2 linked regions of the Elephas maximus indicus genome follow. The protein of the gene in region 1 interacts with the protein of each later gene in a biochemical or structural test. Links are inferred from orthologs where the notes say so. Each region holds a gene or a part of one and is shown on either strand. Other genes may lie near its edges. The genes, in order: SELP and CD24.

Evidence for each region.
Region 2: the proteins of SELP (region 1) and CD24 form a complex in vitro, tested with the Homo sapiens proteins (2 studies listed by BioGRID and IntAct). The link is inferred for Elephas maximus indicus from reciprocal best matches to the Homo sapiens genes SELP and CD24.

Annotation. Positions count from the first base shown.
Region 1 is NC_064821.1:214,369,317-214,377,504, reverse strand, and holds the start of SELP (P-selectin), read right to left. Parts: upstream 3,243-8,188; 5' UTR 2,993-3,242; coding exon 2,990-2,992; intron 1-2,989. UniProt on the Homo sapiens protein: Ca(2+)-dependent receptor for myeloid cells that binds to carbohydrates on neutrophils and monocytes. Mediates the interaction of activated endothelial cells or platelets with leukocytes. The ligand recognized is sialyl-Lewis X.
Region 2 is NC_064821.1:71,461,216-71,466,105, reverse strand, and holds CD24 (signal transducer CD24), read left to right. Parts: upstream 1-4,069; coding exon 4,070-4,258; downstream 4,259-4,890.

The sequences.
Region 1 (8,188 bases):
ATAGGACAGAGTAGAACTGCCCCATAGAGTTTCCAAGGAGTGCCTGGTGGATTTGAACTGCTGACCCTTTGGTTAGCAGCTGTAGCACTTAACCACTACTCCACCAGGGTTTCAGTACTCCCAAAATCAAACCAAACTAATTGCAGTTGAGTTGATTCTGACTGGCAACTCCATGTGTTGCGGAGTAGAACTGCACTACATAGGGTTTTCAAGGCTGTGACCTTTCGGAAGCATATCTCCAGGTCTTTCTTCCAAGGTGCCTCTGGGTGGGTTCAAACTGCCCACCTTTTGGTTAGTAATTGAATGCTTAGCCATTTGTGTCACTGAGGGACTCTGCAATAGACCCAGTGGGAGTTAAAGGGGACCTGGCTTGGACTGGGGCCAATGGGAATGCAAAGTGGGAAGGTGGATATGAGAATCATTGAGGAGGCAAAACTACACAACTTGCTGGTGACAAAACCCAGATTTTACAAGGCATTATAACTGATATAAGATTATTCCTCTTAAGATTCTGGGGAGAGGAGTGATGGTGTGACAAGCTATTAGTAGGTCTGGCTTAAAGGTAGAAAAATGAAACCCAGTGAGAAAAGAGATTGCCTGATAGCAAGTTAGAAATAAAGGCAGGAAGGAGCCCAGGACATTAAGACATAGAATATAGACACGTATTCAACTGAGACTACCGACCATCGTTACTTAGGGCAAAATGTAAGCATTAAAAATGAAGTCGTATGCCTATAAAAAATGTCTTGTTGGACCCTAGCCAAGCTATAGCCCTCCTAATACGAGGGTTAGCTATGTGACTTTATAGAATTTCTGTTCTGCTTTTCAATCAGAGGAGCTGGATACTGAGAAGACAATGTAATAAATGCCATTTAGGAAACTACAGTCTATCTACTCTCTAGTGTTGGGTCCACAGTCTTTTCTCAGTTCCACCTGTTCTGTTCTGAGTCCTTTTTTTTGAGGATTTGGTTACTAAGCTTCCACCTACACAACTCTGAGGCTGCACATTTTAAGAACCAGTGGCCAAAAAAAAAAAAAAGAAACAGTGGCCATCCCAAGAGAGTCTGAACCACTTAGCCGCGTTTTGGAAAACTGGTAATGGAAAGAAGAGTAGGAGTTAAAAGTCACAGACCTAAGATGGTGAAAAACTATAATGGGAGAGAATCCACAGCTTGGTGGGTTGTAGCCCACTAAAAACTTTGAGTAACATCAGCATGATTTAAGCTTCCACTCAAGAGCTCTCTTTCCGAGGTCTTTCTGATTGAAAACAACTTGCCAGCTAAACCTTAGCCTTGTTTCCTGAGGTCCTTCAGGTTCACTGGAGCCACTTTCGGAACCTGAAACAGAACAGACACTTTGAGACTCCTGAATGCCAAGGGCCAAATGTGCCCAGGGGCAAAGGAAGAAGCCTCGTCTCTGGATTGTGAAAAACGTCACAGGGCTGGGGTCCTTGCACTTCATGGTAGAGTGCCTACCTCACTGTTGGAGGATTTGATGAGGTCACAAAATTAAGGCCTTTGGCCCAGTGTCTGGCGTGTGGTGAAGGCTCGATAAATATTCATTATTATTATTATATTAGTTATTATTATTATTACTGCCCCCTCCCCCTTGGAGCATCTGAGCATTAAGCATAGGGGGCTGCAGGGTGGATTCTTAACCCAGGAGTCACGCAGAACACCCTGCGATTGTTGAGAAAGGCTGAGGTTCACGCAGGTGTTCGCACTTTTGTCTTGGAAGAGGAATTGTAGCTTTTATCAGGATCTCAAAGGACTCTGTGATCCACTATGTTTACATATCTCTGAAATAGAGGAGGGTGCCAAAGACAGGATATAAGGAAGACAGAAATAACTGCATATTCGTGTATGTTGTCCGATTCAGGAAAAGTAAGACAGCAGCAGATAAGACAAAGTTAGTCCACATTCTTATGTCATTGTGGTTCAAACTCAGGACAAGCTTGAAGTGCTTCCTCTTCTCTTCGCCAACCTCTTATCCCCGTTTCCCCAACACAGACACCTCAGTTCGGGCACTTGAAAAGTGTATGATAGTGAAGAGGTGTGGTGAATCGGTGTAAGTGCTGCTTTCTTCTGGAATCTCATAGACAGGTGCCCAGGGCAGAGATCAGCCTGGCCCCTCCTTAGCCAGAGCCTGCAGGATTTTGGACCCTGGAACAGTGTGGGATTCTCCCAGTAAACCAGGGGTAAAATAAAAAGTGACTTAACCGTGTGTGTCTGATTTAGGAAATCATTACTGTGTGCAAGAATGCCTAGTCTTTCGTGGGTCTCCCCTGGATCCTCAGCCCCATTGTACCCCCCAAAATTTTCTTTCTCATAACAATAATAGGTAACATTCATCCATCACTTACTATGTGTCAGGCTCATATCTAAATGCTTTCCAGCGTAATCTTATTTACTCTTTACGATGACACTATGAAATAGAGCACTACTGTTATACCTATTTTATAGATGAGGGAACTGAGTCACAAACAGGATTGAGACATATCACAGAAGTGGGAACCATGTATATACTCCAGGTCAGTCCCAGCAGACTCCTAGGTCTCAGAGAAAGAAACGGGAGGGCTGGGGTTGAAGAACCTTTCAACCACAGGCTTGTCCCAGGGCACTGGCTCAGCTTTGCATTCAACCCAGAGAGGAGAGCAGTCCTGGAGAAGGAGGTTGTAGATTTACCAGAGGACAGGAGTCCAGATCCTGACAGTGTCCAGCCTTGGGTAAACCACGCAGGCTCTGCAAGGCACACTGTGAGGCACACATTTCATCTGTAAAATGGGAACAACCTCAACTGCACAAGGCTAAGGGGAGGGTCAAAGGGGGCAGCAGCTGCTGAAGTACTTGTTTGTACACTCTAAAAGGCCCTTCAGCATAAAGCTCCATGGCTCTTGCTATTGCTCTCTTTTTTAACCTTCAGCGTCCTGATTCAGGCCCAAGCTCACTCCAACTCATCCACTTCCCATATGAAAGAGGAATGAACTTACCATCTCCTCTGCGGACTCTGCTCGCTTTCTGCCTTCTGCTCAACCCAGGCTTCTTATGGCCTCACTGCCTGCACTCAGTGTCAGGCTGTTTAAAAAAGCAGCTTCCTATCCACCTTCCCGAAATTCACCACAGCCCCTCCCAGGAGGTTAGAATGTTGATAACACAGGAGCAAAGCTGGAATGCAGAAATGCAGTCACTGAGGGCAGGGGTCGCCTACTTCCACGGGGATGGTCTGGCAACAGGGTAATTGTGAATCACTCCTGGACACCCCAGGGTGAGCAATGTCGGAATAGTCCCCACACCCCCAGGGATCAGGTTTCCTTCGATTAAGATCTGCACCACAATTTGAGAGTATACAGTTGGAAAACATGCTTTGTATTAATCATGATATTCTAAGTGTAAATTTTCCAGTTCTTTTGAAATCTCAGCGAGTGCTATTATTCCAGCAACCTTTAAGGGGAAAGCAGCCCTTGAGGGTTTCCTGGCACTTGGGAGACATTATTGGAAAGAGTTTTGAAAAGATGTATAAAACAGGCACAGATCATTGGAAAGAAATTTCTGCTCTTTATGTCAGAAAAAAAAAAGATGATTTTAAAATGGAAGGGCTATATTTCTCTGCCCATGGAGTCTGTAGGATGGAGACTCTGTGACGCAGTGCTTACGGCTTGGACCTTGGTGTTAAACTGCCTGAGATCCATCCTGGTTCCACCTCTGGCTAGCCATTAGGCAAACTACTTAGACTCTCTGTGCCTCTGTTTTCTCACCTGTGAAATAGGACAATAATAACAGAATTTACCTTACGGGGTTGTCGTAGGATTCAGTGAGTTCGTGTGTGTAAAGAGCTTGAAACAATACCTGGCATACAACAAATGGTAGCTGTTATTATGACTTTTCAGATTGGTTTTCAGATGGCAAAACCAAGTATCAGGTATTTGGTATCAGGTCAGAAGACCATAATTCTAATTTACCCTCTCGGACGCTGGTTGTGTGTTAGTAGATGTTGTTCTTCATTCCGTCCTGATTGTTACAGCTTGTACACAGGCATCTCATGGAAAGATAAAACATGGGATAAAATGGGACAATCTGGAAAAGAAGCCTACAGGTAAAGGTGATTTAAGGAGCTTGAGGTAGCATTTAAACACTTAGGAATCTGGGGCTGAGAGAAAGGGGTTACATAACAGAAACAGAAAGTCTGGTGAAAGAGGTGGTGATGAAGGAATGACTCACCAGGGAATGAGGGAATCTGAAGGAGAGAAAAGAATGGAGAATTTCAAGGCAGCAAAATGCAGTGGATCAGAGCCCAGCCCTTGGAGCCAGACTGCCTGTCTCTACCGCCCACCAACTGCATGACCTGGACTGTTACTCAATCTCTTGACTCAATTTGCTAAGCCATGATAATAGATAAGGATAATAATAGTCAACCCAATGCACAGAGACTACTTTACATGTAAAGCTACTAAAACAGCAACAGGCACACTGTTGGCTTACTGTTCTTTTTAGAAGACTTGCCTCTGTCTCCTCCTGTTCTTTTCACTCTCCAGCCACCCTTTTTTTTGGCATTGCCTCATTTTTTTTTTTTTTTTTTTTTAACTTCTCATGGACAGGGGAGGGTACTATGTAGACTGATAGGTTCTTATTGACAATGTGCTTTAAGTTTGACGATATTAAATTTAAGTGATTCGTGGAGAGCAAAGAGGATTCCTGGGAATGGGAATGGGAGGAAAACTCTACTTGGCTCTGTTTAAAAGCTGTTCAGGCTGAACACCATCTGTTCTTATGCATGTAACCTATGTAGAAAAGTGTTGTTGTCGTGTGCCCTCGAGTCAATTCTGACTCGTAGCAACCCTATTTGACAGAGCAGAACTGCCCGTAGGGCTTCCTAGGCGGTAATCTTTACGGGAGCAGAGCACCAGGTCTTCTCTCCACAGAGCCACCGGTGGGTCAAACCACGGACCTTTCAGTAAGCAACCGAGCGCTTAACCCTTGCACCCCCAGGGCGCCTTCGTAGAAAATTTAGGTCGTTTCTAATTATGTTGCCAGGAGGCAGCGGCGGTTCAATGGTTGAATTCCAGGTTCCGTTCCCAGTCAATCGAAGCACCTCACGTGCAGCCACCGCCTGTCAGAGGAGGTTTACGTCCTGCTATGATGCTGAACAGGTTTCAGGAGAGCTTCCAGATTAAGACGGACTAGGAAGAAAGGCCTGAGAAACCACTGCAGAAAACCAGCCAGTGAAAACCCTAAGGGTCACAACAGTCGTCTACAATGGGTTGTGGGGATGGCAAAGGACCAGGCAGCATTTAGTTCCATTGACCAGGCATGGGTTCACCCTCAGTTGGGGGCAGACTCGACTGCAGCTAACAACAATTATGTTGCCATTAAAGTTATGATATAATTGAAATATAATTTAATTAGTAGTATGGCTTAGCTGTGTTGCGTGTTTTTCTCATCCCCCCATATTATACCCTGAGTTCCCTGAGGGAAGGAATCCATTCCTATATTGGCCTTGCATCTCTTCTAGCAGAAGGTAGATACATACTGACTTGCATGGGTGACTTGCATTCACTTGACTGGTGACTCTGGATTAGACACAGTGAAGTGGTCCTTCCCTCCTCCTCGGCAGACTCTGCCTATCTCACCATAGGGGTGCAATCACACATACTAGAAATATTTAAGCAACTGGAGGCTCCAGACTGTGTGCCAGCACTAGGGATTCAAAAGTGAGCAGAAAAGGACACAGTCCTCACGGCTGTGAAGCTCACAGTGCCAGAGGAGGGCAGCAGGTAGTAAATAAAAAACAACACAAATAATTGCAGTATGGAAAAATGTGATACAGTGAAGAGGGTATGATGGGAACTTGACCTGAGGAAAGCGCCTCTGAGGGAGTGACTAATGAGCTAAGATCTGAATCTGAGTAAGAGTTATTATGCTGTTTAGAGAGAACATTCTAGACCAGTTGAGGCTTGGCGCAGCCGGGAGAGACAGCCACAGTGGCTGGCAGGAGGGATTGGAGGCTGGAGAGGTAGGGATGGCCAGGACCGGGCCAGGCCTCATGGTCGTGGTCTGCATATGTACCATATGGCATCTGGGTGTACTCGAAACCAAAAACCAAACCAGTTACCATCAAGTTGATTCTGACTCATGGTGACCCCATATGTAGCAGAGGGTTTTCAAAGCTGTGGCCTTTTGGAAGCATACCGCCAACCCTTTCTTCCACAGCACCCCTGGATGTGTTCAAGCCATCAGCTTTCAGTTAGTAGTCCAGTGCTTAACCTTTTGCACTACCCAGGGCTTTTTGGGTCTACTCACAGGTGGCTAATTGCTCAGAAAAGTTCTACCTGCACAGCTGGTCCCTCTACTCAGAGAATAGAGCTGTAGTATAAGCTTTAAAAATGAACATATAGCTTTCCCTTGTTGTTAATATAATACATGTTCACTGTAAAAAAAAGAAAATTTAGAAAAAGCACAATAAAGGAAAAAATATCAGTCATAATACTAGCACCCTGGCGTACTTACTTAACAGTTTGTTTTTCTGTGGAATGTTTTTAATGGAATTGGAATCATCTTGTACATTCAGTTTTTTTTTTTTTTTTAATTATGCTTTAGGTGAAAGTTTACAGCTCAAGTTAATTTCTCCTACAAAAATTTATATATACATTGTTATGTGACCCTAGTTGCTCTCCCTATAATGTGACAACACACTCCCCCTTTTCATCCTGGGTTTCCAATATCCATTCAACCAGTTCCTGTCCCTTTCTGTCTTCTCATCCCACCTCCGGACCGGAGCTGCCCATTTAGTCTCATGTATTTTTTTTATCCACAACACTGTTCACGAGTATTATTTTACTTTTTTTTTTAATAATTTTTATTGTGCTTTAAGTGAAAGTTTACAAGTCAGTCTCTCACACAAAAACCCATTTACACCTCGCTACACACTCCCAATTACTCTACCCCTAATGAGACAGCCCACTCTCTCCCTCCACTCTCTTTTCATGTCCATTTCGCCAGCAACTAACCCCCTCCACCCTCTCATCTCCCCTCCAGGCAGGAGATGCCAACATAGTCTCAAGTGTCCACCTGATCCAAGAAGCTCACTCCTCACCAGCATCCCTCTCCAACCCATTGTCCAGTCCAATCCATGTCTGAAGAGTTGGCTTCAGGAATGGCTCCTGTCCTGGGCCAAGAGAAGGTCTGGGGGCCATGACCACTGGGGTCCTTCTAGTCTCAGTCAGACCATTAAGTCTGGTCTTTTTATGAGAATTCGGGGTCTGCATCCCACTGCTCTCCCACTCCCTTAGGGGTTCTCTGTTGTGTTCCCTGTCAGGGCAGTCATCGGTTGTAGCCGGACACCATCTAGTTCTTCTGGTCTCAGGATGATGTAGTCTCTGGTTCATGTGGCCCTTTCTGTCTCTTGGGCTGGTGATTGCCTTGTGTCCTTGGTGTTCTTCATTCTCCTTGATCCAGGTGGGTTGAGACCAACTGATGCATCTTAGATGGCTGCTTGCTAGCGTTTAAGACACCAGACGCCACTCTTCAAAGTGGTATGCAGAATGTTTTCTTAATAGATTTTATTATGCCAATTGACTTAGATGTCCCCTGAAACCATGGTCCCCAGACCCCTGCCCCTGCTACGCTGGCCTTCGAAGCATTCAGTTTACTCAGGAAACTTCTTTGCGTTTTGGTTAGTCCAGTTGTGCTGACCTCCCCTGTATTGTGTGCTGTCTTTCCCTTCACCTAAAGTAGTTCTTATCCACTATCTAATTAGCGAATGTCCCTGTCCCACCCTCCCTCCCTCCCCCCTCTCGTAACCACAAAAGAATGTTTTCTTCTCACTTTAAACTATTTCTCAAGTTCTTATAATAGTGGTCTTATACAATATTTGTCCTTTTGCAACTGAGTAATTTCACTCAGCATAATGCCTTCCAGGTTCCTCCACGTTATGAAATGTTTCACAGATTCCTCACTGTTCTTTATCGACGCATAGTATTCCATTATTTTACTTTTTATGGTCCAGTCTAATCTTTGAAGAGTTGGCTTCAGGAATGGTTTTAGTTTGGGGTTAACAGAAAGTCCAGGGGTCATGGCTTCAGGGGTTCCTCCAGTCTCAGTCAGACCATTAAGTCTGGCCTTTTTACGTGAATTTAAGTTCTGCTCCACGCTTTTCTCCTGCTCCGTCAAAGACTCTCTGTTGTGTTCCCGGT
Region 2 (4,890 bases), about 140 Mb from region 1:
GGCATCATTCATTCACCCCTCAGTTATGTCCTGATGGTGTTCGAGATCTACTAGCTGACTGGAACTGTGCCATATGGCCTGGGACCGGCGGGGGAAGCCGAAGGGAAACCACCGTTTATTGAACCTTGAATACTTGCTAGGCACCACAGCAGGGCTTTACACGAGCTATTTAACTAAATTAATTAATTGCTTTGTCAATGGACAGTTCACTTCTGGCAAGCCACTGCTCTTCTCTGGGCCTTAGTTTCCCCCTCTGTGAAGTGCAGATGGGCCTGGAGGACAGGTCTTTAAAGTATCTCCCATTCCAGTATTCCAAAGTCTAACAGACAAGTCAATAACCTCCCCGAGCCCAGTTTCCCCTTCTGTGAAATGGGGTGGTAATAACCCCTGCCTCAATGTGAGGATGCGGTGAGTACAGGGCATGTACCAGTGAGCACTGGGCTCGGTGCCCTCACAAGGGAGGAGCTACTGCTATGACAGGCAGGGGTGGGGGCAGACAGGGCATCTGTCCAGAGCTGCTGATTACGGTTCTCACTCCACCCACTGTCCCCCCAATGATACTTGCTGCCATTTCCTGGGAAATGGTGCTGAGCCATCTCCACTCTAAGCTTTCCAGCTGCTCCTGACCATATTTCATCCCCACACCTCACAGAGGGGCTGAGACAAAGGTTCTAAGAGATACATTTAAAATGCACTACCGTCCTGTCCTCTAGCTGTTTAAAGGTGTCAATGGCCCCCTGCTGTTCCTGAAGCAAAATCCCAGAACTTGAAGGGCTTTCAAGGCCCCTGCGGCCCAGCTCTTAACTCCATTCCTCCAGCCCCATCCACACTGATCCAGATGCCAAAACTGAGGCCTGGAGAGGTGACAAGACTCACCAAGGCTCCTGTAACTGGAGATGGCAGAGCCAGATTCAAACCCAGGCCTTCAGGGTCAGGCCCTGGGACTCACCAGCCTGCAAACGCTGTGCAGAAACCTCTGCCTCCTGGAGATATGGGCCCATTCAGGCAGCGTGTGACCATCAAACACAGACATGGAGAAAAAGCGTCTTTGCCAGCGGTTAAGACAGAAGTGCATTGGATGGGCCCATATCTCCAGGAGGCAGAGGTTTCCATCCCCCTCACCGGAAGACATTTGCTTCCTCCACCTCTGCCACTCCCTCCACATTGCTTTCCTCAAGGAAAGCCAAAAATAAGTACCAGCTGCCATTGAGTTGACTCTGACTCATGGCGACCTCATGTGTGTTAGAGTAGAACTATGCTCCTTAGGTTTTCAGTGGCTGATTTTTCAGAAGTAGATGGCCGGGCCTTTCTTCCGAGGTGCCTCTGGGTGGACGGGAATCTCTACACTTTTGGTTAGCAGCTGAGCATGTTAACTGTTTGCGCCACCCAGGGACTCAAAAAAAAAAAAAGTAAACAAAAAGAACTCCGTTGGTGTGTACACCATTCCCAAATGGCAAAGAGGAAGTCAGAAAATTCTTCAGACTGCCCCCTAAACATTTAGAAAAAGAGAGTGAGATTCCTGAAGAGGCAGGAAGCAGTGACATAGGAAAAGCAAAGAAAAAGTAGGATTTTATTTTCTGGGATATAAAGAAAATACTTACATCCTACAAAATAAAGGTCAAAGAGGATACTGAGTGACTTTAAAATTTCTCTTCAAGCTATATGAAAACCAAAAGTCTTTAAAACTTCTATTAAATTTTAGCAGTAGAGGGTCAGCAAAAAAGGGGAAGACCCTCGATGATACGGATTGACAACGGGGCTGCAACAATGGGCTCAAACATAACAAGGATTGTGAGGATGATGCAGGACCGGGCAGGGTTTCGTTCTGTTGTATGTAGGGTTGCTATGAGTTGGAACCGACTCGACGGCATCTAACAACATGACATTAAATTTCTTATTATAAGTCATTCCCTAAATTTCGAACATTAGTGAAGGTAGTATTTCCATCCATTCTAGTCATTCGAAAGGATAGGTTCCCATTCAGACTTTCAGTGCTCCATTATCAACCATGAACTTCCTGTCTTTATTCTTTAATTTCCACTGTCTACTGTCTATAGTCTTTTTTTATTAAACAATTGGAAATTTAAAAAAGTTATATGTGATAAGAGTTGTGGAAAATGAAACACTTATTTTTTAATTTTAATTTTTATTGTTATAAAAATAGATATAACATGCACCAATTCAACATTTCTTACGTGTACAATTTAGTGACACCAATTAATCATGTTGTGCAACCATCACTAATAATTGGTGCCAAATTTCTATCAGAAAACTTTTATAAACAGAAACTCATTGCTTCTTAACAATGACCTTCCTGAAACCGAAAAACCCATTGCCATCGAGTCAATTCTGACTCATAGCAACCCTATAGGACAGAGTAGAACTGCCCCATAGAGTTTCCAAGGAGCGCGCTTGGTGGATTTGAATGGCTGACCATTTGGTTTGTAGCCGTAGCACTTAACCACTACGCCACCAGGGTTTCCCTTCTGTCCCTGGTAACCACTAATATTCTCTGCCCATTTACCTATTCTAAATATTTCATGTAAGTGGGATCATACGCTATTTGTCCTTTTGTGACTGACTTCACTCAGCATAATGTTCTCAAGGCTCATCCATATGGTAGCATGTCAGGTCTATGGTTTTTTTTTTTTTTTTTTTAAAGCAATTTATGCCTTGGTTGGGCAGTGGATAAGGAAGACCGAAGAATTGATGCCTTTGAATTATGGTCACACCATAATTCTGGACTGCCAGAAGAACGAACAAATCTGTCTTGGAAGAAGTACAGCCAGAATGCTCCTTAGAAGCAAGGATGATGAGTCTTCTTCTCATATATTTTGGACATGTTGTCAGGAGGGATCAGTCCCTGGAGAAGAACATCATGCTTGGTGAAGTAGGGGGTCAGGGAAAAAGAGGAAGACATTCAATGAGATGGACTGACACAGTGGCTGCAACAATGGGCTCAAACATAGTAATGATTGTGAGGATGGTGCAGGACTGGGCAGTGTTTCGTTCTGTTTCACATAGGGTCGCTGTGAGTTGGAATCAACTCCATGGCACCTAACAGCAACTTGCCTTGGTTTGTTCTAGCTTGAATTCCACCAATCCCACATCTCAGAAATCAACCTGCTGGTTCAATCCCCAAAAGAAACATATAACCAGTGTAGAAAAGTTGGAAACACAGAAATCCCATCAGCCAGAAACAACGAAGACTAACACCATGGCGTATTTTTTGACTTCTCCATAAAATACGTAAACAAAACAAAACGCACTGCCATCCAGTTGATTCTGACTCACAGTGACCTTATAGGACAGAGTGGAACTGCCCCATGGAGTTTCCAAGGCTGTAATCTTTACAGAAGCAGACTGCCACATCTTTCTCCTGCAGAGCGGCTGGTGAGTTCGAACCGTCCACCTCTCAGTTAGCAGCCAAGCACTTTAACCACTACACCACCAGGGCTCCTATAAAATACATGGGAATACTTAAAATGAGACACAGAGTTTGATGTGCAACCTTTTAAACTAGTTGCTTCTTTTAAAAGATCTTAATTACAGTAAAATGCTCATGATAAATGATGTTAAGCTAAAGTCCTGGATACAAAGTACAATCTTCATTGTGTAAAAGACATGCATATAGTCCACATAAAAACATACCAATTGTAAATAATGATTATCTCCAGGTATAAAGCTCTTTTCATTCTCTGGGATACCAACTTTCTCCAACAACAAACACGTATTATTCATAAGAATCGGGGGAAAAAATAAGGCCATTTGAAAAAAGTCAACGGAAACCTTAGATTTCTAAGTAAGGGGGTCCAGGTTCTCTGAGCAAGTTTTAAATGTTTTCTTTGAAAATCAGTTGGGCGGACAAGCGGGCGGTTGCCGGTGGGCCAGTAGGCGGGCGTTCTGACGTCAGGGCGCTGTTACAGGGCTGGGACATTGTGACGCCGCTGGTACATAAGGCTCCGGCCCGCGGCCCTTCGCGCCAGCTCGCCTGTCCCTGCCTGGAGCCCGGTGGTCCTCCATCCCCTAGAGCAGCGAGCCCGACGCGTCGCGCACCGACAGAGTGGACATGGGCCGGGGAATGCTGGTCGCTCTGGGCCTGGCCCTGCTGATTCTGGCGCTGCTCCTTCCTACGCAGGTTTATTCACAGGAAACGACCTCAGCGACCACCACCACGGCTTCGGGTGCCATCGCTCTGCAGTCTACAGTAAGCGTCCTTGTGATCTCGCTCTCCCTTCTTCTCCATCTCTTCTTTTAACAGACCTAGGCCCCGAACCATCTTCACTTCTCCAGTCCATCTTCTAAAACCCAACCCAAATGGCTTCTAGAGGTCTGGCATGGCGAGGAAAAACAAAACACGTCTTCGTCAAATCTGCTGATTCCACTCCTTGTTTGATTGACTTTGAAGATATTGAGAACCCCAGACTTGACTGGTCTGAAGAGCACCTGAAGGCTTTGACTAGATGATGAATCCCAATATTAAATCTACTGGAACTTCGTGTGCAAGACTGGAGAGAGACACAACGTCCAAAGTTAGTTAAAGGATCAATTTCGTTAAACAAGGCTTAAGAAATAACAGACTTTTAAATCGACCTTGACGATGAGAAACGACCTCACTTTGATCTAAAACTGATGGGTTGTGGAGTGGAGATTTGGTTATCTTTGTGATTCATTGAATCTAGAAGGCCATAAAAATGATTGGGTGATGTAAAAATCTTCCTTGATTCTGTTTTTATGTAAGTTAAAAGGAGCCTCTAGGTGTTACCGTAAATCAGTACTCATTTAGTGTTGCTATGTTCTATATTTTTACACTGTTAAGCTTACACTGTTGTTTTGGGAACAAACTCTTTCCTCTGGGGCTGTGAATTTGCCAGTGCTTTTGATTGTATG